Oryctolagus cuniculus: one gene and its partners. The protein of the gene in region 6 interacts with the protein of the main gene of each other region in a pairwise test. Links are inferred from orthologs where the notes say so. Each region holds a gene or a part of one and is shown on either strand. Other genes may lie near its edges. The genes, in order: NMB, HSP90B1, TSGA10, PPM1K, NTAQ1 and BIRC2.

Region 1 (4,271 bases), on a different chromosome or scaffold from region 6:
AGGCGTAGCTTGATTGAGCAGGAGTCAGTGCCAGGCTGGGCCATGGCGCCAAGTGCTCCAGCCCCGTCTGTCTCCCGGCCCCTCTCCCGCCCTCCCTCAAACCTAGCTGGAAGGAGAGGACCACGCATTCTGTGTGAAGAGCAGGGTTTTTATTCACAGCTTCAACAGGGGAGCAACCGATACAGCAGGGATATAACCTCGTGTGCGTCCCGCCAGCTCTGGCGACCCCGTCAGGAATCCCAGCCGTGCAGAGACGGACTGGCGCCCAGCATTTACATCCAGGCGGCACTGCCACCTCCCCCGGGCCGGCACAGTCTAAGGTGAGCTGCTGCTGGCATCACTTCTGCAGTATTTGCACCGGAAGCCTCCTGTACTGAATGAAAACACAGAAGAGTTGATCTGGCAAGGCGGGGTGGGGGCGCGGCGCCGCCCACGAATGGAGCCTCCTGCCACTCCTAAGTGCCAGGCACCTGCAGAGGTGGGCAGGGCAGGACCCCTAGCACGGCTCTCCCTGAAGGGCCCGGGAAGGAGTCACCGGCCGTGGTGTCCTGAGAGTTATAGCCCCAACCTCACAGCACAGTCGCCACACTCTAAGGGGGAATGTGAAGTCAGATCCCAGTGCTTGGCACCACCCAGTGTCAGTGTCCTGACCCTCCCGTCCCCAGCTCCGGCCCAGGCCCCACTGATGTCCCACCTGCTCCCGGCCAGGTGTGCTGCCCCTGAGATTCTCGTGCTGCAAGCCCTGCGGGTGACACGGTTCCCCTTCAGACCCTTAGCCGTCACATCTGAGGAGGGCTGGGGGCCTTCAGTGTTTCAGGAGTCAGGGGTGTTGGCTGGGGCTGAGGTTGAACCTTCCCCAGGGAATGCCATTCCCTCTTTCCATAATGTACACACCCTATGCAAGGCACAGTGAGGATGCGAAGGGGACAGCAGCAGGCACTGCCCGGAGCTCCCAGACGGCTAACAGCCCCCACTTACCCAGGGCTGTCTACATACTAGCATCGCGCTGGGCGCATGACATAAATGGTCTCACTCAGTGAGAGATGGGCCCATTACCCTCTCCACTTACGGATGAGGGGGAGGAGGCTGAGATTTCTGAGGTCACACAGCTACTAAGCAGCTGGGTCAGGAGGGCTCACCTGGCCAGAGCCCACCTTCTGCACACAGCCACGAGCCCGGGGCACCGTAGTGCACAGTGGGACAGCACCAGGAGCAGGGAGCAGAGAAGCTGCTCAACCAGACCAGACACTGTGGCTGGCTTGGCTTTAGTTTGGGACTGAACTGCATAGGTCAGTGGATTATAACCGAGAATGATTAGGGCACCTTCCTCCCTCCCCCCACCCCCGAGGACATCTGGTGACAGGCTGGGGGCCTGTCCGCCTGTCACAATCTGGGGTGGGGGGTTCTGCTAGCATGTGTCGGGTGGTGATCAGCGACGGACACTGCCGTGCACGGCCCAAGCCCTGCCGCTGGCTACAGAAGCAGGCACTCAGGGTCCCAGCTCCAGCCACAGCACATGCAGGGCGCAGTAAGGATGGATGTGGCCAAAAGAGCAGGGGCCGATGGAGTGGGACAAGGCTGTTGGGCCTGGGGGACAGGTCCTGCTGCTAGTGGCTGTCTGCTCCTTGTCTGACCTTGGACTGGGTGATGAGTGGGGGGGCTTGTGCCATGGGGTCTGCAGGGAGGGTCAGCTTCCCTTGGCCAGTGCCCTGCTCTTTGAGCCCTGGGATAGAGGGATAACCCGGCATTCCTTCTTCCCGGCTCTCCACACCCACCTCGCCCTGGCCAGGCCATGATACCCCATGGCAATGACAGCTCCTCCATGCTGGACCAAGGGGCGGGCCCTGGCTGAGCTCTCCTGGTCCTGGCTGGGGTGGGGCCTGGCTCACCTGGGTCTGGGCTGCTGGGCCGCTGAGGCTCAGGCCCAGAGCTTTCTTTAGCAGGAGGATCCGGAGCAGATCATGACTCAGCTGCAGTCTCTGGGCCCTCACGGCGGTGGGGGGAGTGGTCCCCAGTGGGAATGGGCTGGGGGGCTCCAGACTCTTCTTGCCCATGAAGTGACCTGGAAAGGAGGTGTCGAGGCCCAAGGAAGCCAGGGAGTGAGGATTCTACCCCAGCGGGGAAGTTCCCCATCACTCCCATAGTTGGCTCTCGCAGCAGGAAGACACCACCTTCCCCCTCCTCACCAAGACCCACCGAGGTGTCTGGGTGTGGCAAGGCCCAGCACCTCGGCTCTTCCAGAACCAGTGCAGAAGGGGGCCCAGCAACTGGGGAAAACTGTCCGTCCTGCCGCCTGCATGGCCGAGCACAGGGAGGGGAGGGCAGGGAAGGAGATACGCCAGAGCCTGGAGGATGCACAAATCCAAGCCCGAGGGAAGGAGCAGCACTTGGCAGGCAGATCTGGGCCCCAGGCCAGCCCTGCCCCTGCGCGCTCACCTGTGTGCGTGTCAAGTTCCCCTCTACTGAACGGGAGGAGCCCAAGGGGCCCAGCTGCTCCCTGCAGTCCCCAGGACGAGGGGCTGCAGGGGGAATCAGAGCAGGGTGAGGGGCGCCCGCTGCCCCGAAGACTCACCGGTGGCCCAGAGGTTGCCCCGCGGGTGCACTCGGATCTTGGCAGCTCTGCCGCGGGGCTCCGGGAGATCCCAGCTGAGCGGGGCCACGCCGGCAGCGAGCAGGGCGAGCAGCAGGAGGCCGCCCAGCGGCTGAGCGCCCCCCGGCCGCCGGCCCATGGCTGTGCGGCGGCGGCGGCTGGCTCCGGCGCTCCTCGCCTTCCCGGCTTTAAACCCGCGCCTCCGGAGGCGGAGCCTGCCCCCGCGGAGCCCGAGCCCGCCCCGCCGCCGCCGCCGCCGCCGCCACCGCCGCCGCCCGCAGGACCCTTCAGGCGGCGGTCCAGAGTGAACTGCCCGAGCCCACGCCCTCACGCTGAGGTCCCGGCACGCGGAGAGCAGGGGTCGGGAAGCCCAGAGGAACTCCCGGGACCCCGTGGCCGCTCCACCGGCTTTCAGAGCCGCGCCTGGGCGACTCAGGCACTTCAACAGTCCTGGTTAGCATTGCCAGGCACCAGATGAGCTCCATCACCCCTTCCCTCTCGGGGCACTGGACCTGTGTCCCCGGGTGCTTTACCAAGGTTCTGTGCTGGGATGTGGAGTTGGGCAGGAGGCAGAGCAGGTCGGAGTGGAGAGAGCACTGGATCATAAGTCCATATGAAAGGACGTTGGTAATAACTGCACTGCCCTATTTGTAATAATTCTACACTTGGCAGCACACCTATCTTGTGCCAGCCAGCAGCAGCCTCCCAGGAGCTGCCCTCCCCAGCAGCCCTGTGGTCCTCCAAGGCGCTGCCGGCCTTGCCGGGCAAAGAACTGCAGCAGTGCACGGCTTCGGGAGCGGGGGAAGGCGTGGTGCTCCAGGAGAGCGCCGCTGATTTCTGCTAAGTGCTGGCTGAGCACTGTGCTAGGCCCAGGAGGGGGAGACGAAGCTCTCTGTGGGGCACGGTGCACAGAGCGGATGATGGAGAGGCTGTGGCCCAGCCATGGGAGACCCACTGAGAGTGAATGATGCAGAGGCTGTGGCTCAGCCACGGGAGACCCGCTGAGAGCGAAGGATGCAGAGGCTGTGGCCCAGCCACAGGGACCCGTCCCTGGAACGATGCACAGGCGGCTGTGCCAGAACCTGCTCCTGGCTGGCTCAGCAACCGCACCGCTCTTACTACTTTTGCCTGTATGCAGCTCAGATCCGTCCCTGAGAGAGCCGTTTGCCCAAGGAGCTGGGCGTCGGGCTCAGCTTCCAGGAGCGTGTGACACACGGTATGGGGACACTCCATTTCCGGCCTGGCTTTCTGCCCTGTCTTCCTGCTTCTCACCCCCACTCTGGCAGTTGCACCTCTCTGCTTTCTTGTCACAGCTTAGCCATGCTGTACAGATATAGCTCTCCTCACCTTCCCATAATAACCATTCCCTCTGCGACCCCTCCCTTTCCTCTGCATCCCTCTCGCCCCCATCCTGTGGTCTCTGGTCTACAACACACAGGAGCTGGTATTTGGTGAGTGCTGCCTCACTTACATGCTCCAAGCAATCTTTGGTAAGTTTTGCTTTCTCACGTTTAGGTAGAAGCAGGCTCAGAGGGGTTGGCACTCGGCCTGGAATCAGACTTCAGGGCAGGCACCGACTTCCCTAAAGCACACCGCCTCCGCCCCACTGCAACAGCCAGTCAGGTTCAGACCTCCGTGGCGTGGGCGAGTGGGCGCCGCATTTTAGGTTTCACTCCTGCAG
Region 2 (4,097 bases), on a different chromosome or scaffold from region 6:
TCGGAACACAAGGTAGGTCACTGCCTCCTGGGCTGAGCGGTGCTTACGCGGAAGCTTAGCAGCAACCACAACAAAGGTATCCATGGAAATGCACCACAGGAAGAATCAAGAGATCAGCTCCAAAGGCGGGGAGGGCCCGTTCTGGAGGAGCCGCACAGGGCAGGAATGGGGATGGGTAGCCGTTAGGAGTCAGAGAGGCGGGAAGACCGCCCGAGGGGGCGAGGCTGGGCCCGAAGCCGCTCTTGCGCACCCCTAGGAGCACGGCAGAGCCCAGGCAGTCTCGCCGTGGCCAGCCCACAGCCTGCGGCTCTGCCCCCTCGTGAATTCTCAGCATCTGCACAAACATCCAGGCACTCGCAGCGGCTCTATTTCACTCTCGGTTCCCTCCAGGTGCAGCGCGAACTGCCCGGTCACATGGCTTTTGCAGTTTCAGGACTGCTCAGAAGTAGAGAGAAAGGTGAAGGAGCTGAGCTGTGAAGCCCAGAAGAGAGGAAGAACCCATTTTCTACGACCAAAAAATCAGTGAAAACACAACGAAATACCCTTGAGATTTCTGAATGCGATGCACACTCTAGTAGACTTTAAAAAAAAAATGCCAGCACAGAAGCGTAAAACCTGCTTCGTAAGCTACTTTTGCTTACTAGGAACAAAAGCGGAGCAATAAGGAGCCCCGCGAGGCGCAGGTGTCAACCAGAGTTCAGAGTGGGAGTAGCGGAAGCCGGTCTTCAAGGAATGCGGAGGATCTCCCGAAAACAAGGAGGGAGCAGCGAGGGAGAGGGGCCCGGCTAGGGGCAGCGGGAGAGGTGGTCCCAAGGCGCCAGAGACCTGTGGGCGACTTCCGCGGAGAGACACCTGGGGTTTCACGTCGCCCTGAGGGCGGCCGGGGTATTTCTACGAAGTTACAAAGCTGCTATCTTGTCCCCACTCCCCCACCCACGAAAGGTTTTGCTTTCAAATACTGGCAGGTGTGCGCTCCTGCAGGCGGGGCGTTCCTTTTCTATGCAAACCCGGGCGGCCCCGTGCTCTCCCGCCGACTTGCAGCGAGGGCTCGCGGGCTGCCCGGGTCGCCCAAAGTTTACCTCAGGAGAGCGGGGGAAACCCACGCCGCCCCCTGCCCTAAACCACATCAGGCAGGCGCGAGGAAGACTGGGGTGCCCGGTGACGCACGCGCAGCCAGATTGGGAAACCGCCGTTCCCGAGCCGGAGGCGGCCTCCGCCGAAGCGCGGCGACTTCTGAAAGCGCGTCCGCTGCGGGGTCCTGCAACACGCACGAATCTCTACTGCGGTCAGAACGAGATGTGAATTCGAAAACGTGCAGGACGGAGTTCCCGCAAAGACACGCGAGGAGAGTGGGGGAGAAGAGACCCAAACTGCGCAGCTATAGCCCGCGAGGAAAAAACTACGATTCCCAGCATCCAACACGGCGTACCCTCGGTGTGTGGCATGCCGGGAAATGTAGTTTCTTCACCACCAACAAGCCACCCGAAAGCCTTCAGGGGGGTTTCAATCTCTCACGTATTGCTTCTCCGAGAAGCACTGACAAATAGAAAGGTGACTTGGAAGTCGCGCTGGATTCGGTCCCAACGGGATCCCGGGTGTAGACGCCAAAGTGTGAAGAACCCGTTGTCATGGCTACCGTTTCCCCTGGTCACGGAATACACGCTCTCTAGGATCCGGAAGTGTTTCCTCCGCGACCTCTCAAAAAAGGACGGACGTGTGTGGAGCTTACGTTCATTGGACGATTTCCTCTAGATGCTAAGGCTTCCCAGGCAAAGGGGCGGTTCCGCGTGCGAGGGGCCCGCGGAGGTATGTGATTGGACAAAAGCTGTTACCCATGCCCAATCGGAGGGAGCCACGCTTCGGGCATCGGGCACCGCACCTGGACAGCTCCTATTGGCGGACTGTGGTCCCCCCCGCGAGTCCCCATTGGGTGCCTGGGGTGCGTGGTGCGGTGCGATTGGTGGATTCGTGTTTCCCGTCCCCCGCCCGCGGGCAGTGGGGGTGAAAAGCGGCCTGACCTGCTTGCGGTGTAGTGGGCGGACCGCGCGGCCTGAGGTGTGAGGCTCGGAGCTTGGGGTGGAGGGGTGGAGGCGGCTCCTGCGATCAAAAGGGACCTGATACCCGCCGGCCGCGCGCCATGAGGGCCCTGTGGGTGCTGGGCCTCTGCTGCGTCCTGCTGACCTTCGGTGAGTGATCCTGGAGCCCGGACACCCCCCCCCCCGGCGCGGCCGCTTCTCGAAGGTTCTGGGGGCGTTGGGGAGGGGTACCAGGGCCCGCGGCGGGCCAGCGGGGCCATCGCCTTTCCTCGAAAGAGGCCGAGGGGACTACGTTGGCGCTCTTGCTGCTCTGGGAAGAAAAGAAAGGACGGAGTCGTTTAAATCCCCCGCAGCCCGCGTGGGTCCGCGCCCGGCGGTCGGGGCCGCCCCGGGCGGGGCCTCCCTTGGGCTCTGCCTTCCCCGGCTGCCCTCCCGGAGGGCTCCGGTCCGCAGCCACAGCCTGGGGAGCCCCCGCCCCGCTCCGGGCTTCCGTCGTGCGCGCGCTTCCGTTCTTAGACGTCGGCGGGGTCAGCGGGTCCAGGCCCGATTGCAAGCCCCCTCGCCAGAGGCTGCACGAATCTGGTTCGTGTTGTGACCCGGGCCGGGGCAGGCCGGGATTTGGGCTTTGGTCTGCTTGGGAGCCCCGCGCGGCGGCGCGCAGCACGTGTGGCGGGGGCCCTGAGCCACGCGAGTCGCGGGGGCTCCGTGGGGGCGCCGCGCAAGGCCCGCCTCCCCCTCCCCCGTGCACCGCGCGTGTTTCGCAATCCCTGCCCTTGCCCTGTGTGACCGTGTTCGCTGTCCCCCAGGCTCGGCCCGGGCCGACGACGAGGTGGACGTGGACGGCACCGTGGAAGAGGATCTGGGGAAGAGCAGGGAAGGGTCGAGGACGGACGACGAGGTCGTACAGAGGTCCGTGCTGGTCGGCAGCGCCGCGGGCTCCAGGGATCCCCATTAAAGCTAATGCTCCCACATTGGGCAGGAAAGTGTTAGCAGGAGCGAGGTGTAACGCATTATCTAAGAGTCCCTTAGCGTGAGCTTTGGATGAATTCCTTTGAAAACTGTTTTGCTGACTTGCCGTGCAGAGTGCTGGCCCCTTGAGCTTTGTAAGGCCTGAGAGAAGACTTGCAGTGGGGTTTGCACTCGCCGAGTGCGTGCACTGACTGGTTTTCTGACGGGTTTCTGTCAGTGGAGTCTCTGCCGTGGAGCAGTGTGGGTATGGGTATGACTGCTCCTTGGTCAAGTTGGGCAATTTAAGAATCTCGGCGTGACCCTCTGGGAGCAGAGGAGCTGGTACTTGGTGGTCGTCTTGGAAGGCTTCCGTTTACCCGTCTAACCCTCAGGACAGTCTTCAGGGGCCACTTGAGCCGTCAGCACAGAGGCTGTGTTTTTAAAGGTACTAAGCATGCCGTATTTGCCTACCTGATTTCCTTAGAGAGGAAGAAGCCATTCAGTTGGATGGACTCAATGCATCCCAAATACGAGAACTTAGAGAGAAATCTGAGAAGTTTGCCTTCCAAGCTGAAGTTAACAGGATGATGAAACTTATCATCAATTCATTGTATAAAAATAAAGAGGTAAGCAGCCTGGGTTAGGGTGATACTTTGTTTTGTGGATTGGCATACTTGTTTACTTTCGCAGTTAAATACATTTAAGAAATAGTAATCACAGGTGAACAGTGAAACTGAAATACCAACCTGTGCAGCCAGGACGACTGTTAGACGTTTCCCCTTTGTCCTCTACCCTGCAAGCAGGGCCGTGGCCTGCTGAACAGTCCGCTAAGCTTCGTGGACTTCCTACTGGAAAATCAGGGTGGTGTTTAATTCTCCTTCCAGTCCAGATATCCTTATAGTTGTAACAGTCCCGTGTATAGGAGCTAATCCTCCTTGTACCAGTGAGCAGAGCCACCCTGAGAAGACTTTTTCCTTAAAGAGTGCTTTTTCAAGGTACAGAGGAGACAGGAAGAGTCGACATTAAATTCAGTGTCCTATGTGTCTAATGTAACTATCAAATCTGCCTTCCATTTAGATTTTCCTGAGAGAACTGATTTCAAATGCTTCAGAT
Region 3 (3,500 bases), on a different chromosome or scaffold from region 6:
CAAAGCGAAACACTGATATCTGCTAAAACATTGATGACTCTTGAAACCATTATGCTAAATGAGGAAAACCAGCCACAGAAAGATCACACAAACAGTATTTGATTCCATTTGTTTGAAATTTGCAGAATAAGACAAGTCACAGAGAGAAAAAGTAAGTTAGGGATTGCCTAGGACCAGGGAGGGTAGGGCAAAGTAGCTGCTAATGGGTGCTAAGGTTTTTGGGTGAATGATGAAAAAGTTCTTAACATTAGATAGTTACAATGATTACACAGCTCTTTCAATATGTTAAAAAAAAAACATTGAGTTATTATGAAACTGTTACCAAAAAAAGTCATGCTCCATTTTGTACTGCTGCTAGAAAATATGGCATCGCCATTGCACAGCTTAGTGTTCGTCCAACACAAGCTAAAAATATTTGCCAGTTTGATAGATTAGAAAAGTGTCACCGGTTCAACCATGGAGTATTTTTGCTTCCCAGTAGATATTTATTTATTTATTTTTTACAGGCAGAGTGGACAGTGAGAGAGAGAGAGAGACATCGAGAAAGGTCTTCCTTTTTGCTGTTGGTTCACCCTCCAATGGCCTCCAAGGCCGGCGCACTGCGCTGATCCGAAGCCAGGAGCCAGGTACTTATCCTGGTCTCCCATGGTGTGCAGGGCCCAAGCACTTGGGCCATCCTCCACTGCACTCCCGGGCCACAGCAGAGAGCTGGCCTGGAAGAGGGCCAACCGGGACAGAATCCAGTGCCCCAACCGGGACTAGAACCCGGTGTGCCGGCACTGCAAGGCGGAGGATTAGCCTATTGAGCCGCGGCGCCAGCCTTAGCAATGTCTTGATACGTTTTTGATTGTCCTGACTAGGATAGGGAATCCTAGTGGAATCAAGAGGGAAGAAACCAGGAATATAGCCAACTATCCTATCATGCGTAAGGTAGTCCCTCACACCAAGTAATTAACCAACCCAAAATGTCAGTAGTTACTAGAGAAGAAACTCTGTACAAGAAATAGCACCTTATTTTAATTTGTATTTTTTGTATTACTAGTAAGGATCATTTTTTTCCATTTCATTGTATATCATAAATTTCGTATAATTAGTTGATATTTCTCATCAACTTGTCTGTATTCTTCATATTAGTAAAGATATTAACTATGTACTGTGTTTATTTATTACAGCTATTTTCTTTCAAATTTTGGTCATGTTTCTATTGACTTAAAATATTTGATCAAATTTTTAAGATTTTTGTGTTGTATCTTAGTTCTACTATATACCTATCCACTCCCACCTCCTGTAATTTCATTTTTACTCATTTTCTTTACTGGAATTTTAAGCCTTTCACATTTAAATTTTTTATGCATGTAGAATTTATTATAATATATATTTTGAGGTATGGAATAACTTTTTCCAAATGATAATGACTGGTCTTTCTCCATTTGAAGAAACATGTGGCTTACAGAGTATAATTTAGACTCAAAATAACCTTCAGAAAGGAAGCTCTTCACAGGTTTACACAAGAGAGCAAATGTGCCATTCCTCCTTATATTCCTTAACTTAGAGTGCAGTACATTCCTTCAGATAGGTGTTTGGAACTCACCTAGCTCAGGGCAAAGTCACAGAGATCACCATGTCAGCCTGTCAGCCTTGTAGAAACATAACATAAATATAGAAGCTAGGAATGGAAATTGGTTACAGTTGGGGTTAATATGCCTTTACTTAATGAATTTTGTGATAGGAGCTGAGAGATGGAGAAAGTGATATTATACATGTATGTGTGGTGTGTGTATTTGGTAAGAAGGCAGATAAAATTTCATTAAGTGATTTATCAGTTTATAACATGATACAACAATTTTTATGAATTCCTGATAATATACCAGTTACATGAATGAATGGGGATAAGTGTAGATGTCTTCATATTGTTATACAGATGGAGAATGAGTTAGATTCTGCTCGTTCTGAAATAGAACTCCTCAGGAGTCAAATGACAAATGAGAGGATCTCCATGCAGAATCTAGAAGCTTTGCTGGTGGCCAACCGAGACAAAGAGTATCAGTCTCAGATAGCACTACAAGAAAAAGAATCTGAAATTCAGCTTCTTAAGGAACACCTTTGTTTGGCAGAAAATAAAATGTGAGTTGTTTAGCAATATAATAACAGAAAGTCGTGTTTTTAATTTTCTGGTGCATTTATCGATTACAATTTTAAAGCTACAATGTAGAGAATTTCATTCCCATGATTTGCCATTAATTAACCTGGGTTCAGAAATACTATGATTTGCCTAAGACTTAGTATTCATTTTTATTTTGTTTTATATAAATTTGAGTTTAGCAGTCTCTATTCATTGTTTCCATCAGAGTTTTGGATATCATAGAATGTCAGATCTAAAATACTGCCTTTAAAAATATAATCAGATTAGAAAAGCAATTAAGCACTCTGAAACCAGCAGAGTTTTACATGTCTGGACCCTTCTGCCATTGCTATCTAGTCTTTCCATTTTTCACCTAGTATTTCTTTATGTTCCCGAGGCTATTGGAAGAACTACACTCACTTCCCCAGAACATGATTTGGGGTTGTGTTTGTAACCCCTAGCTTCACTAGTACTTTATTAGAAGACCCCTGGCTGAGGAATGGGTGGAAATACCTATTTGATTATAAACATTTTATGATTAAACTTGGTCACCTCACAGAAACTGAAAATAGGTCTTTGTACAAATAAAGAATGGGAATGGGAGAGGGAGGAGAAAGAAGGGTTGGAGCGTTGGCGGGAGGGAGGAGAGGGTGGGAATCATCTATGTGTTCCTAAATCTGTACATAGGAAATACATGAAACTTGTATTAAATAAAATTTTTTAAAAAGAAAAAAAACTGAGGCAGACTCTTAGCTTCTGTCCTTATTTGTCCCATCCATAATACTTTTTTGCTCTGCCCTCACGTCCATGCCTGAGACCTTGCAAAGGACAGAGATTGTGACCTCAGACACCAGTCACTCCTAGAAGCCCCTAAGGCTGCAGACTCAGGACCAGTTTCCTTCTGAAACTGCTTTCAGGTCATGGTAGCCATGACTGAGCCACTCCTTTTGGTTCCTGGAGCTGGGCTGTTGTGGTTCTTTCAGCTGGTTCTGCAGGATCACTTTCTCAAGCTGGTAGGTAGAAATCCACTTTTGTGAAGGATGCCAAAACTCCCGCGCCAGGAGGGACACTCTGTACCTGGCTGATGAGTACTATCACTAAGAGATGGTTAGCATGATGAACTTGTGCTCTCAGTCCCTGAGTTAACATTTCAGCAGTCTGTGCTGCTGTCCTGATAGCAGGCCCAGAGGGCAGAATGTTCTGTGCCAGCAGCCTTCATCTCTCATCAGTCTCCTTATGAAGTTGTACCTTATTACAGGGTTTTGAGGCCTCGTTTACCCTTAAGGAAGATCCTGTTAAGTTGAAGAGTTTTTGTTTCTAACTGTATGTATATAAATTTCATTCTGGCCAGTGCCGCGGCTCACTAGGCTAATCCTTC
Region 4 (4,240 bases), on a different chromosome or scaffold from region 6:
CTGCCATCCATGTGGAAGACCTGGATGGAGTTCCCGGCTCCTACCTTCAGCCTGGCCCTGTCCCAGTTGTTGCAGCCATTTGGGAAGAATGAACCAGCAAATGGAGGCTCTCTTTCTGTCTGTCTCTCTCTCTCCCCTGTGTATCTGTGTCGCTCTGTGTGTGTGTGTGTGTGTGTGTCTACGGCTCTGCCTCCCAACTAAATAAATCCATCAATATTAGGGGGAAAAAAACCTTTTCTTTTCACCATTTCCATACTGATTTGTGTAACCATGCCTTTCCCATCTTCCTCCTCCTGTGGCTAGGAAACAGTTTGTTTAACCATCCCGACTGACTGACAAGGGGAACCTCAGCAGAGAGGTTTAAATGGGAAGAAACTGCAAGACCATGAAGGCATGCATAGAGATGCTCAGTGAGTACTGGCGACAAACCTCATCTCAGGAGTGGGAAGCCCCAGGTCAAAAGCATTAGGATGGAAAAAAAAATGCATTTGGTTTGCAAAAAACTTTTGAACTATATCCCTCATTTAAAAGTAAAAGGAAGCAGTGAAAAAAGGCAACTACACAGCTACAAATTTGCTTTGCCAATTTTATGTTTTCTTCTTGCTCCCACTTTAGAATTCCTCCATGGTTTAAACACCCTAGGCTGTCCAAATTTATTTTTGGAAACAGGAGGCACTGTGTGTCTGGCAGGAGGGTGCACAGGGATTTGAGGTTTAACCGCACTTCAGCACCGAAAGCCAGGTCAAAAGGGCAGTTCATTGCTGTCATTTTAAGCCCATGCCAAAATTTCCAGGAGTTCTAAGGATTGGCACTATTAAAACCTGCTTAGGTTGTATTCTTCTAGAAAAAAAAATCTTTAAAAAACAATGCCTATCTGCCTATTACTATAAAGTGGTACTATAAAGTGGTAACTTCCACAATTGAAAAATTACCCAAGGTAATTAACTAACCAATTAATATTCTTAAGCTAACTATTTCTTTCTCAACACTCCTTAAAAAGCAACCAGAGCATTCTGAACACTTCAAATAGGATGGAAATCTCCAGAATGTATCTCAGCAAATTTGGACTCTATGCCTTCTTTACCCGTATCCCGCTAGGAGGAAAGGAAAGACATGGTACCAGGCTAGCTGCGGGAGAGAAGTCCATGTTGACATGTGTGAATAGGGCGGACAGCACACAGAGCTGCGGAACCCTTCCTACCTAAAATGCCCTCGCTGCCTTTGCAAACATCTGCCTTCATGAGGTCCCCAAGTCACAGACCACGTTCCCAACCTGGAACCTCAGAACGTTCCTTTCCCTTCTATCCCAACATCCCACCTCATGGGCCCCGGCCCGGCTCTCCTCAGAGTCCCCAGGCACGGGAGGTGCGGCGTGTTCCGCCGGCATCCGCAGAAAAGCGGCTCAGGCTGCAAGAAAGAGGCATCGAGAGAACCCAGCGCCCCGGAGCCATTTCACCACACAATGGGCACCACACTCGGCGACAGACACACAACGCGCGCGCGCCGCTCCTCTTCCGGCCACGGCGGCACCGCGCACCGCTTTCGTTCCCTCAGACGTTGGCCACCGGCCGCTCTCCTTTAATGGCTCACTCTGAAGCCGCCAGAAAGCCTCGCTCTTTCCCCCTGCCCTGGCGGACGAAGAGCGCTGAGCAAAGACCAGGCCGGGCTGCATATTTCCGGCCCGAAGCTCACAAAGCCCGGTGCAGCCCCAGAGAGCCCCCACACTCCCCCATCCTCTTATCTTTAGCCTCGTTTTGGTCACCGCCTGCGAATTCCGGCATCTACAAAAAGCGTCTGCTAAAAAGGCATCACCACAGCCGCAGGGCCTGGGATGACAGCGCCGTCCCGTCCAAACTGCCACCCTGTCCTGCCATCAAACCAAGTAGGGCATCCTTCTCGGCACCGGCCTCCTGGCCTCCGGCCGCGCCCGCCCGGGGCTGGATGGCTCGCCCTGCTGGACGCCTGGCAGCACACACAGCCTCGCGCCCCCGCCCCGCCAACAGCTGCACCCCGGCCTCCCCGCCTCGCTGATCCCGGGGCGTCCCCGTGGCACCGACCCCTGCAGCATCCTCGCCGGCGGGTCGCACAGAGCACGCGTGGCGGCCCCCTCACCTGGCCGGCTCGCGGTCAAGTTCAAGGCCGAGCGCGATCGGGGAAGGAGCCCTTCGCCCGCTTCCCGCAGCGCTGCCAGGGTGTGCCCCACCCTGAAAAAAAAAAAAAAAAAAAACCGCTCTTGACCTGGAAAGGGAAGAAAACAGCTGCCGGAGACCGACCGTAGGGGCTCGGAGGCTGAAGAGGTGAAACCAGGGAGTCGTTCTCCTCTTACTCTTCATCCCCTGGGCCGCCAATAAGTAATATTATAAACGGTGGGCAGAAATAAATGAATGGCACCCTCCGGGCTCTTACCTCCCGATGGCTATGTCCCTTGGAAGTGTTTCAATGAGCTAACGGAGGGCAGTGCAGGGGCTTTCGTGCTCGTTAAATAAGATTGCCGTCTCCTTTGTCTTGCGATCTCCGGAGCAAGCAATCGAAAGCACCACTCACTGCTTCGTCTGCTGGAAATTCTCGAAAATGTTTCACCAGCTGCGGGCCAGAGGGAGCGAAGGGAAGTGTTCCCGCTGACTGACGGCAGCTCCGGCCAATCGCACTTGGCGAGGCGGCGCGTCGGCCCTCCACCTTAGCCAATCACAACTACCGCTGGGAACGAGCCTCCCCGCCGCTGCGATTTGACTGCGCCGACTGGCAGCCGCGCGCGGTAGAGCGACGTCTACGTCGGCCAGTAGCTGCTCGAGGAGGCGCCCCACCCTCCTGAGGTAGGCGCACCGGCCAAAGATGGGGCGCGCCTGGACGGTGGGTGGGGACGAGACGCTTGGTGACCGGCCAGCGGGTGGAGAAGCCGAGTGTGTCGTGAGGGGGCGGTGGTTGTGACAGCTCGGGGACCGAGGCCAGGAATGCCTACGCTTAGCTGGAAGGGCTTGGGGTTTCACTGCCTCTGCCTTGAAAAATTCGCAGCGCAGCGTTCGTCGTGGCCAACAAGCATCTTGAGTTCCCTTTGAGGGGAGGGGGTGAAGGACCTTCGGGATGCCAGGCCCCCGCGAGGCGCCGGCCCTACAGTCCTGCCCCACACACTCATGTTAGCTGCCTCGGTGGCGTCTGCGGTCTGGTTAGGAAGGCAAGGGAGAAACCCGACAAGTACACAAGGGTGGAACATTAGTGAACCGTGTCCAGAAACGACACAGACAAGGCGTGAACATAGCGGATACTGGGGTTGACTCCGGGTGGGTAGGGGATATTTGTGTGAGAACCTTGTAAGATGGCGTGTGGGCTGCGTCTCACAGAGAGAGGAAGTCAGGTAGTCAGGCCGTGGAACGAGCGGAGTGGCGGCCTCTCTGGGCGGTGGGGACAGCCGAGCAAAGGCCCTGAGGTTCTGGAAGCGCAGAAGGAGGTCGGTGTGGCTCCTGCCTAGTGAGGGAGCAGAGGGCAGCAGCAGAGGAGTGAACCGCTTTGGTTAATGTGAGAACAGGGAGGCTGGGCTGGTGGTAGACTGGTTAGGAGAGGACGGCTGGCGAGGTTCAAGGTGAGAAATGACATGGGTTAAAAACCAGACAGATATCACTGGGAGTAGAGAAAAGAGGAGATTAGAGATTTTAAATGTAAAGGGTTTACTTATCTTGGCATTTCAGGGTTCTGGTGCAGGCTGGTGCAGGGAGTCCAGTGCACTTAATACTCTGCTTAGAAGGTGATTCTTCCACCGCTCACAAATTCTGGTAGTGACTTTGAGGATTTCTGTGTCGGATTGACAGTCACTTTTCATGGATGTCCTGGATTTCTTTTTATGCTTTTGCTAAAATATAATACACATATAGAAAAGTACATACATCACAAGTGTATACAACACAAGGAGTGTTCACGGTCTGAATACATCTTTATCCAGAACTCAATCAAGAAACACTTTTTTTTTTTAACTTCTGAAAACTCTAACAGACTACCTTCCGGTTTCTTCCTCCTTCCAAGAGTAGCGTCTATGATGACTTTCAACAACGTAGATTAATTTTACCTCTCTTTCTACTTGGTATAAAACAATTAAGTATGCATTCTTTTATATTTGGCTTCATTATTTTGTGAGATTTTTGCGTACTGTTGTGGACAGTTGTAGGTCATTGAATTCCATTCTGCGAATATACTAGAATTTATAAATTTATTCTTCTGATGGAAATTAAGATGATTTCCAGTTTGGAGC
Region 5 (3,500 bases), on a different chromosome or scaffold from region 6:
TCTTTGCTCTCAACTTTCTGGGTGGGGCATCTAGAATTTTAATCCCTGATTTTGGTAGATTCTGGGATTTGTAGTTGACTCTTGCACTCTAGAAGACTGTGAAAACCAGAACTAACATTCTGTTGGTTCAGCAATATCTTTAGAGCAGAAGCAGCTTTCGTTCAACATTTACCTCTGTATGTGCATATTATGATAACAGTTTAATAATTACTATATTGCTAGATTTTATATGCTTTGTATAAGATTCTTTCTCCATATTTTATTCAACGGCTTGTAACTTTAAGGAGGATGGCCATTCTGGACAACTTTCCTGCCGTGATACTGAAAATGGAATTCCCACATCAGTGTTTTACCTGCTCTGCCTTTTCATTGTCTAATGTTAATGGTCATGGTTACTCTGGCAACGGGTCTCTGAAATCTCTTTAAATTACAAAGCTGCTTTAGTATTGGGTAATATGTGGAAGTTTATTATGTACTATATCTTCTTATTTGTGATCACATATCCCCAAATGCGGGCTTCACATTCTTTAGAGTCTATATTTAGCATTCTCTCAGTAACACGGTAATTAATGCTTTTTATGGGTTCAGAAGACAGAGTTAAAAAGCATCATGTTTACCAAAAAAAAAAAAAAAATTCTTTGTTAGTAACTAAGAAAGAACTAAGAAAGGGGCCTTTCTTAACCTGTGTAAATACACAATCACATATTTCCTTACATAAAAGGGACTAAACTCTTCTAACTCAACTGTGCCCTATAAGGAAAAAGATCTCATTCAAAAACAAACTTTAAAATGTCACTGTCTTTTATAAAGCACATTTCAGAACAGTACTAAACTCATGCTATATTTAGCTTCTGGTGTGTTTCCTTTCTGCAATCATTCACCAACTTACCATCTTTCTCTCATTAGATATGAAGACAGCGTAACACTCTTCCAAAGGGTACTGGTCATGGTTCTTGATGTGTTCACAGAGCTTCCAAATATTTTCTTCACTGAAACAAAATAATTGTTTGATCAATATAATTAAAAGAGAGCACTCTGTATGCTTTTCAGATTTGAACAAAAGACTGATGATGACATCAAAAAATTAGAAGAGCCCTTACACATCATCTCATCCAACAACTGCCTGACATTTCAATCTCCTCTAAAACATTCCTAAGGGCTGGTGCTGTGGCAAAGTAGGCTAAGCCTCCACCTGCAGCACCGGAATCCCATATGGACACAGGTTTAAGTCTTGGCTGCTCCTCTTCCAATCCAGCTCTCTGCTGTGGCCTGAGAAGGCAGTAGAAGATGGCCCAAGTCCTTGGGCCCCCAAAACGCATGGAAGACCTGGAAGAAGTTCCTGTTCCTGGCTTTGGATTGGCCCAACTCCGGCTGTTGCAGCCATCTGGGAGTGTACCAGAAGACAGAAGACCTTTCTCTCTGCCTATAACTCTACCTCTCAAGTAAATAAATAAAATCTAAAAAAGAAATAAATAAATAAATCACGCTGTCCTTTTAAAAATGAAGTGTATTTTGAGGTCTAATTAGAAATATGTTTGGAAAATTAAAAAAAAATTTCCTAACAAGTTGTTATCTACACTGCGTGTGGACACTTTTTCCAGAGCTCACTGCCTCCCACAACAGTGTCTGCATATTTTAAAATGGATAAAATGCTTTAATATCCTATAAGCTTTAGATCTGAATACTTGAAACACAGCTGTTGGCCGGCGCCGCAGCTCACTAGGCTAATCCTCCACCTTGCGGTGCCGGCACACCGGGTTCTAGTCCCGGTTGGGGCACCGGATTCTGTCCCGGTTGCCCCTCTTCCAGGCCAGCTCTCTGCTGTGGCCAGGGAGTGCAGTGGAGGATGGCCCAAGTCCTTGGGCCCTGCACCCGCATGGGAGACCAGGATAAGTACCTGGCTCCTGCCATCGGATCGGCGCGGTGCGCTGGTTGCAGCGCGCTGGCCGCGGCGGCCATTGGAGGGTGAACCAACGGCAAAGGAAGACCTTTCTCTCTGTCTCTCTCTCTCACTGTCATCACCTGCCTGTCAAGGAAAAAAAAAAACAAAAAAAAAACCACACAGCTGGAAATCCAATTCAGCCACTTACAAGGTAAGAGGCTGTGAACATCTCAACTCCTCTGAGAATCTACCTAACTGTAAAGTGGACATAATCACATCATATTGTAAACATGCAATGAATGTGAGTTACCCCTGGTTCTTTGCTCCCTTTAGGAAAGGGGCAGGAGGGCTCCTAGCTGGAAAGGCTCAGGAGACGTTATGTGGTTTGTCCAGGGATTCTGGAGAAAGCCCCTGTGCGTGGGATTCCCCAATCCCCTAAAGTAAGGAGGAGGCCTTAACTTTTAGAAAGCTTTCTCTCCTTCCGAGCCAGCTCCCTGCCAGTGTTTCTGGGAAAGAAGTATAGGATGGCCCAATTGTTTCTGCCCCTGCACCCACGTGGGAGACACAGAGGGGACCTTAGGCTCCTGGCTTCGGCCTGGCCCAGCCCAGGCCATTATGGCCATTTGGGGAGTGAACCAGTGGATGGAAGATCTCTCTCTCTCTCTGTCGCTCCCCCTCTTCATGGAGGAACGACACAGGACCCTGCGCTGTTCTTTCGTCTGCTCGGCCCTCCCCGGGTTTGCTGCTGGTTCTTCCCGGGTTGGCTACTATCCCTTCCACCTCCGTGGAAGGGCAGTTCCCCCTGGCCACATTCCCCACTTCCGCAGGGGAGCGGCACACCGCCGGCCGGTTCTCTCGGGGGCTGCACGGGTTCCCTTAGATGTTCCCCATAGATGTTCCTGGTGCGTGCCGTCTCTCTCCTCCTTTATAGTCCTCTCCCGCCAATCCTAACTCGGCTGCCCACACGCCGAGTACGCTGCTCTCCAATCAGGAGCAAGTCCTACAGTTTATTAGTTGAACTGGAGGCAGCTGTGCGGAAGCTGTTTACTTCTCTCCCAGCGCCATATTGTGGGAGAGCAGATGCATAGAATAAGTCTTAATTCGAGTAACTTAGTCTAGTCCGGATTGCTCCCCACAGATCCCCCTTTCTTTTTATTTTTGGCGTTGATACGCGCCTGTCTTCGGTGTCCCGCGGCACACACTCTGCTCTACTTGCTAGAGTTGCCACAGGCTCTTACAAGTCCTATCAGGCAAACCGAATCCGGGTCCTCTCTTCGCCATGTTATGAGGAGGTTTTTAGGCGCTGATGCGTGCCTGTGTTCGGTGCCCCGCAGCGCATGCTCTGCTCTGCCTGCAGGGGCTTACAAGCTCTATCAGGCAAACCGAATCCAAGCCTTCTCATTGCCTTTTTGTGGGGAGGCCTTACTGATGTTAATTCGTGCCTGTCTTCGGTGACCTGCGGCGCATAAGCTGCTAACCGCCGCAGGTGCTCATCGTGCTCATCGCCTCACTTAATCAGGCAGACCGAATCCAAACTTTCTCGTTGCCATGTTGAGGGGAGGCCTTTCTATTTCTCTATTTCTCTATCTCCGGGCATTCCTATTTCTCCCATTTTACT
Region 6 (3,500 bases):
TACACTTTTTAAAAATATCAGTTCCCAAGATACATCTTAGACCTACTTATTAACAAACTCTTTAGGGATAAGGCTTAGGAATCTTTAAATTTTTTAAATTCCCCAAATGATTCTGATGGATAATCATTTTTGAAAACCAGCAACATGTACAAACTTAGAATTTATAAATTGTCTCCAGCTAGGAAGACAGGGGAAATAAAAATGACTTCATGGAAAAGGTAACACTGGAGCTTGGATTTGAAGCCTGGACAGGGCCTAGTTGGGTGGATAGCTGAGACAGAGAAAATAAAAATGGGAAGTACAGAAAATGGAAGAGTATTACACCTGTAACATATCTAAATGTGCAGTGAAAACTATGGTTAAACAACCATAGTTTTAGATGGAGACATGTGCTCTCCAAAGTAAAAACTAATTCAAGAAACTCAGAGCCTGGAGGGCATTTTAAATAAGAATGGTCAGGGAAGCATTTTCTGATAACAGCATCAAAGCTAGCCTATATGGCAGTTTTGTGAAAACTGTGGACCTAATTCTTCAAGACACTTTAGTGCCATCTGCTGGAAAGTTGTTATAACAAACATTAATAAAAAACAACATGAGTGCTATGTGCGACACTGCCAAGACATTATGTGGACTCCCTGTCTGAAGAGAACACTCAGTGGGGCCAGAATTGTGGTATAGCGAGTAAAGCTGCAGCCTGTGAGCCAGCATCCATGTGGGTGCTGGTTAGAGTTCCAGCAACTCCACTTCCAATCCAGCTCCCTGCTAATTCACCTGGGAAAAGCAACGGAGGATGACTCAAGTTCATGAGCCCCTCTACCGACTTGTGAGACCTGGAAGAAGCTCTAGGCTCCTAGCTTCAGCCAGTTGCAGCCATCTGAGGAGTGAACCAGCAGATGGAAGATCTGTCTCTTCCTCTTCTTTTTTTTTTTTTTGACAGGCAAAGTTAGACAGTGAGAGAGAGAGACAGAGAGAAAGGTCTTCCTTCTGTTGGTTCACCCCCCAAAATGGTTGCTACGGCCGGCACACTGCGCCGATCTGTAGCCAGGAGCCGGGTGCTTCCTCCAGGTCTCCCATGTGGGTGCAGGGCCCAAGCACCTGGGCCATCCTCCACTGCACTCCCGGGCCACAGCAGAGAGCTGGACTGGAAGAGGAGCAACTGGGACAGAACCCAGAGTACCAGCGCTGCACGCGGAGGATTAGCCTAGTGAGCCACAGTGCCGGCCTCTTCCTCTCTGTAACTCTCAAATAAAAATAAAATCTTTAAAAAAAGAAGAGAGAGGAAGAGAACACCCAGAGATTTAAAACAGTAATAAAGAGTAAGCTGTGGAAATATATGAGACGTCTTGCAGGCAAGAGAATAACAAGTATAAAAGCCATAAAACAAGGGAAAACCTTCACGTGTTCAAGGAAGAGAAGGAAGGTGGTAGAAGGACGGAAGGGAGGACAACGTCCAGATGGAGAGCTTTACAAAGTGTTCATATTTTATTCTAAGTTTGCTAGAATAGTCTAGGAGGCTTTTAACATAGCTCTGATAAAATGTGACTTGTATTTTCAAAAGATAACTCTAGCAGCTCTGTGGAAATGGACTTTAAATCAGGTAAAAGTGGCATCCGGGAAACCTATTACTATGACAAAAGATGATGGCAATCTGAATACGGTGATAGTGGTGATGGTGAGAAATAGTGAGAGGGATGTGTTATGAAGGCAGAAAAAAAAAATTGCTCATATACAGACTAAAGAAAGGAGAGGAATCTGAGATGATGCATCTTTTTTATCTTAGCAAATGAGTATCATTAACTGAAATGGAGAAGCCCAAGGAGAAGCAAACTTGAGGAATAAAGGATTAGGAGAAAATTTTGTTTTGGTCCTATTAACTCAGAATTCTATCATAGCCAAAGACAGAATTAAACAGAGAGCTGGACATTCCAGCCTGGGTCTTGGGAAATGAAGAAATAAATTTGCAATGACCACTGAAGTTTGAAAAAGGAGCAGTGAGCAAAGGAAAATGGGAGAATACCAATTGTCTGGGGGCATCTGAGAAGCTAAAGAAGGAGTCCTAAAAAGGACAAAGAACTCAACTGTATCTGCAGTTTCACAATATGCATTTTCTATGATAGTTTAAGACTTCTGTAAGCAAAGGTTTCCATTTTTCTTTTGCGGTAAAATTATCTCTTAATTACATTTTCCAGAAACTTTGTGAGCCACCCTCAAATGTACATTCTGAACATCAACTAATAGACCAATAGGCTAAAACTAAATTCTAATCAAAAGAGATTATTGAAATACTATATACCTGACCTAAATATCTAATATATAAGCCACTTCTTAAATCATGTGAACCAGGCTTTTTCCAAACCATGCTGGCTCACAGCAACCTTTTCCTCTTTAGGAGGGCTTATTATTTTCAATTCTTATTGACATTGCTTTGAGCTATTTGTTTTTCTTTTGCATCTGTCTTTTCTCCCCTGTTGAGATGTCAGCACTAAACTATATAAACTTTCTAGAATCCCCAAAATACCATTAATCTTTGTATGTACCTAAGGTTTACCAGTTAACTTCCCAGTATTTTTCTCTGTAACTTCAGAATCTCTTTTTTTAAGAATATATTTTCATTCCTCACATTATTATATACATTCCCATTCTACACTAATAATAATATTTCACACTTACTTGGTGGATCAGCATTTTCTTCTCCAGGGGGGTCTGAAGTTGACAACAACTATAAAACAAGAAAAGCTAATAGGTAAAATCAGAAATCTCAATCTGAAAAGAGGAACACTAAGTTTACCCTAAGTAATTGTACATACTCGAAACTGGGTAATTTATACACTTCACTTTGCTTTGTTTTATCCTAACTATAGGACAGGTTTCCTTAAACTTACCCTACTTCCAAACTAGAATTCAGGTATTATCTTCCATTTCAACAAAGTAGGAAAATATATAAATGGTTTCTTACTCCATTTGAATGGGTTACTCTCAAGAGGTCTCAATTGCTAATAAGTTAATTTCTGTAAAAGGATGAAAGATCCTTCTCCAACCCTACCATAAATGTGTACAGTGACAAGATATTTTTTTCAAAAGAATCTTTTTTGAAAGCCCTCACCAAATACATTGGATACAAAAGTAAAAATTAAAGTATTTTGATACAGCAAGTTAAGCCACCATCTGCAATGCTGGCATCTGATATGAGCACCGATTTGAGTCCTGGCTGCCCCATTTCTAATCCAGCTCCCTGCTAATACATGGGAAAGCAGAAAATGGCCCAAGTGGTTGGGCCTCTGCCACCCACACATAAGTTCCTGGTTCTTGGCTTTGGCCTGGCTGTCAAATTATCATACAGTAGAATCCAATATTGTTAACTTTTAAAAAGTATATTTACCTGTTCAAGAAGATGAGGAAATCTAGCTTGAATCTCATCAACAAACTCCTGCCCTTTCATGCGTATCAAGAATTCACACCTAAAACATAAGATGAAAAATATTGTTTCAACTTTTATTTAT

Evidence for each region.
Region 1: the proteins of BIRC2 (region 6) and NMB interact in binary tests that used the Homo sapiens proteins (3 or more experiments, as listed by UniProt). The two-hybrid records come from large-scale screens. The link is inferred for Oryctolagus cuniculus from reciprocal best matches to the Homo sapiens genes BIRC2 and NMB.
Region 2: the proteins of BIRC2 (region 6) and HSP90B1 come close enough for resonance energy transfer, tested with the Homo sapiens proteins (2 studies listed by BioGRID). The link is inferred for Oryctolagus cuniculus from reciprocal best matches to the Homo sapiens genes BIRC2 and HSP90B1.
Region 3: the proteins of BIRC2 (region 6) and TSGA10 interact in binary tests that used the Homo sapiens proteins (3 or more experiments, as listed by UniProt). The two-hybrid records come from large-scale screens. The link is inferred for Oryctolagus cuniculus from reciprocal best matches to the Homo sapiens genes BIRC2 and TSGA10.
Region 4: the proteins of BIRC2 (region 6) and PPM1K interact in binary tests that used the Homo sapiens proteins (3 or more experiments, as listed by UniProt). The two-hybrid records come from large-scale screens. The link is inferred for Oryctolagus cuniculus from reciprocal best matches to the Homo sapiens genes BIRC2 and PPM1K.
Region 5: the proteins of BIRC2 (region 6) and NTAQ1 interact in binary tests that used the Homo sapiens proteins (3 or more experiments, as listed by UniProt). The two-hybrid records come from large-scale screens. The link is inferred for Oryctolagus cuniculus from reciprocal best matches to the Homo sapiens genes BIRC2 and NTAQ1.

Annotation. Positions count from the first base shown.
Region 1 is NC_091443.1:100,947,895-100,952,165, forward strand, and holds NMB (neuromedin-B), read right to left. Parts: upstream 2,801-4,271; 5' UTR 2,730-2,800; coding exon 2,573-2,729; intron 2,063-2,572; coding exon 1,890-2,062; intron 374-1,889; coding exon 338-373; 3' UTR 128-337; downstream 1-127. UniProt on the Homo sapiens protein: Stimulates smooth muscle contraction. Induces sighing by acting directly on the pre-Botzinger complex, a cluster of several thousand neurons in the ventrolateral medulla responsible for inspiration during respiratory activity.
Region 2 is NC_091442.1:106,766,848-106,770,944, forward strand, and holds the start of HSP90B1 (endoplasmin), read left to right. Parts: upstream 1-1,297; 5' UTR 1,298-2,137; coding exon 2,138-2,186; intron 2,187-2,842; coding exon 2,843-2,945; intron 2,946-3,468; coding exon 3,469-3,610; intron 3,611-4,061; coding exon 4,062-4,097.
Region 3 is NC_091433.1:109,420,699-109,424,198, forward strand, and holds part of TSGA10 (testis-specific gene 10 protein), read left to right. Parts: intron 1-1,921; coding exon 1,922-2,124; intron 2,125-3,500. UniProt on the Homo sapiens protein: Plays a role in spermatogenesis. When overexpressed, prevents nuclear localization of HIF1A.
Region 4 is NC_091439.1:77,349,559-77,353,798, reverse strand, and holds the start of PPM1K (protein phosphatase Mn(2+)-dependent 1K), read right to left. Parts: upstream 2,801-4,240; 5' UTR 2,407-2,800; exon of another isoform or gene 2,113-2,406; intron 1,920-2,112; exon of another isoform or gene 1,319-1,919; intron 1,140-1,318; exon of another isoform or gene 1,001-1,139; intron 411-1,000; exon of another isoform or gene 304-410; intron 1-303. UniProt on the Homo sapiens protein: Serine/threonine-protein phosphatase component of macronutrients metabolism.
Region 5 is NC_091437.1:149,142,023-149,145,522, reverse strand, and holds part of NTAQ1 (protein N-terminal glutamine amidohydrolase), read right to left. Parts: intron 990-3,500; coding exon 890-989; intron 1-889. UniProt on the Homo sapiens protein: Mediates the side-chain deamidation of N-terminal glutamine residues to glutamate, an important step in N-end rule pathway of protein degradation.
Region 6 is NC_091432.1:94,082,147-94,085,646, reverse strand, and holds part of BIRC2 (baculoviral IAP repeat-containing protein 2), read right to left. Parts: intron 3,459-3,500; coding exon 3,380-3,458; intron 2,720-3,379; coding exon 2,671-2,719; intron 1-2,670. UniProt on the Homo sapiens protein: Multi-functional protein which regulates not only caspases and apoptosis, but also modulates inflammatory signaling and immunity, mitogenic kinase signaling, and cell proliferation, as well as cell invasion and metastasis.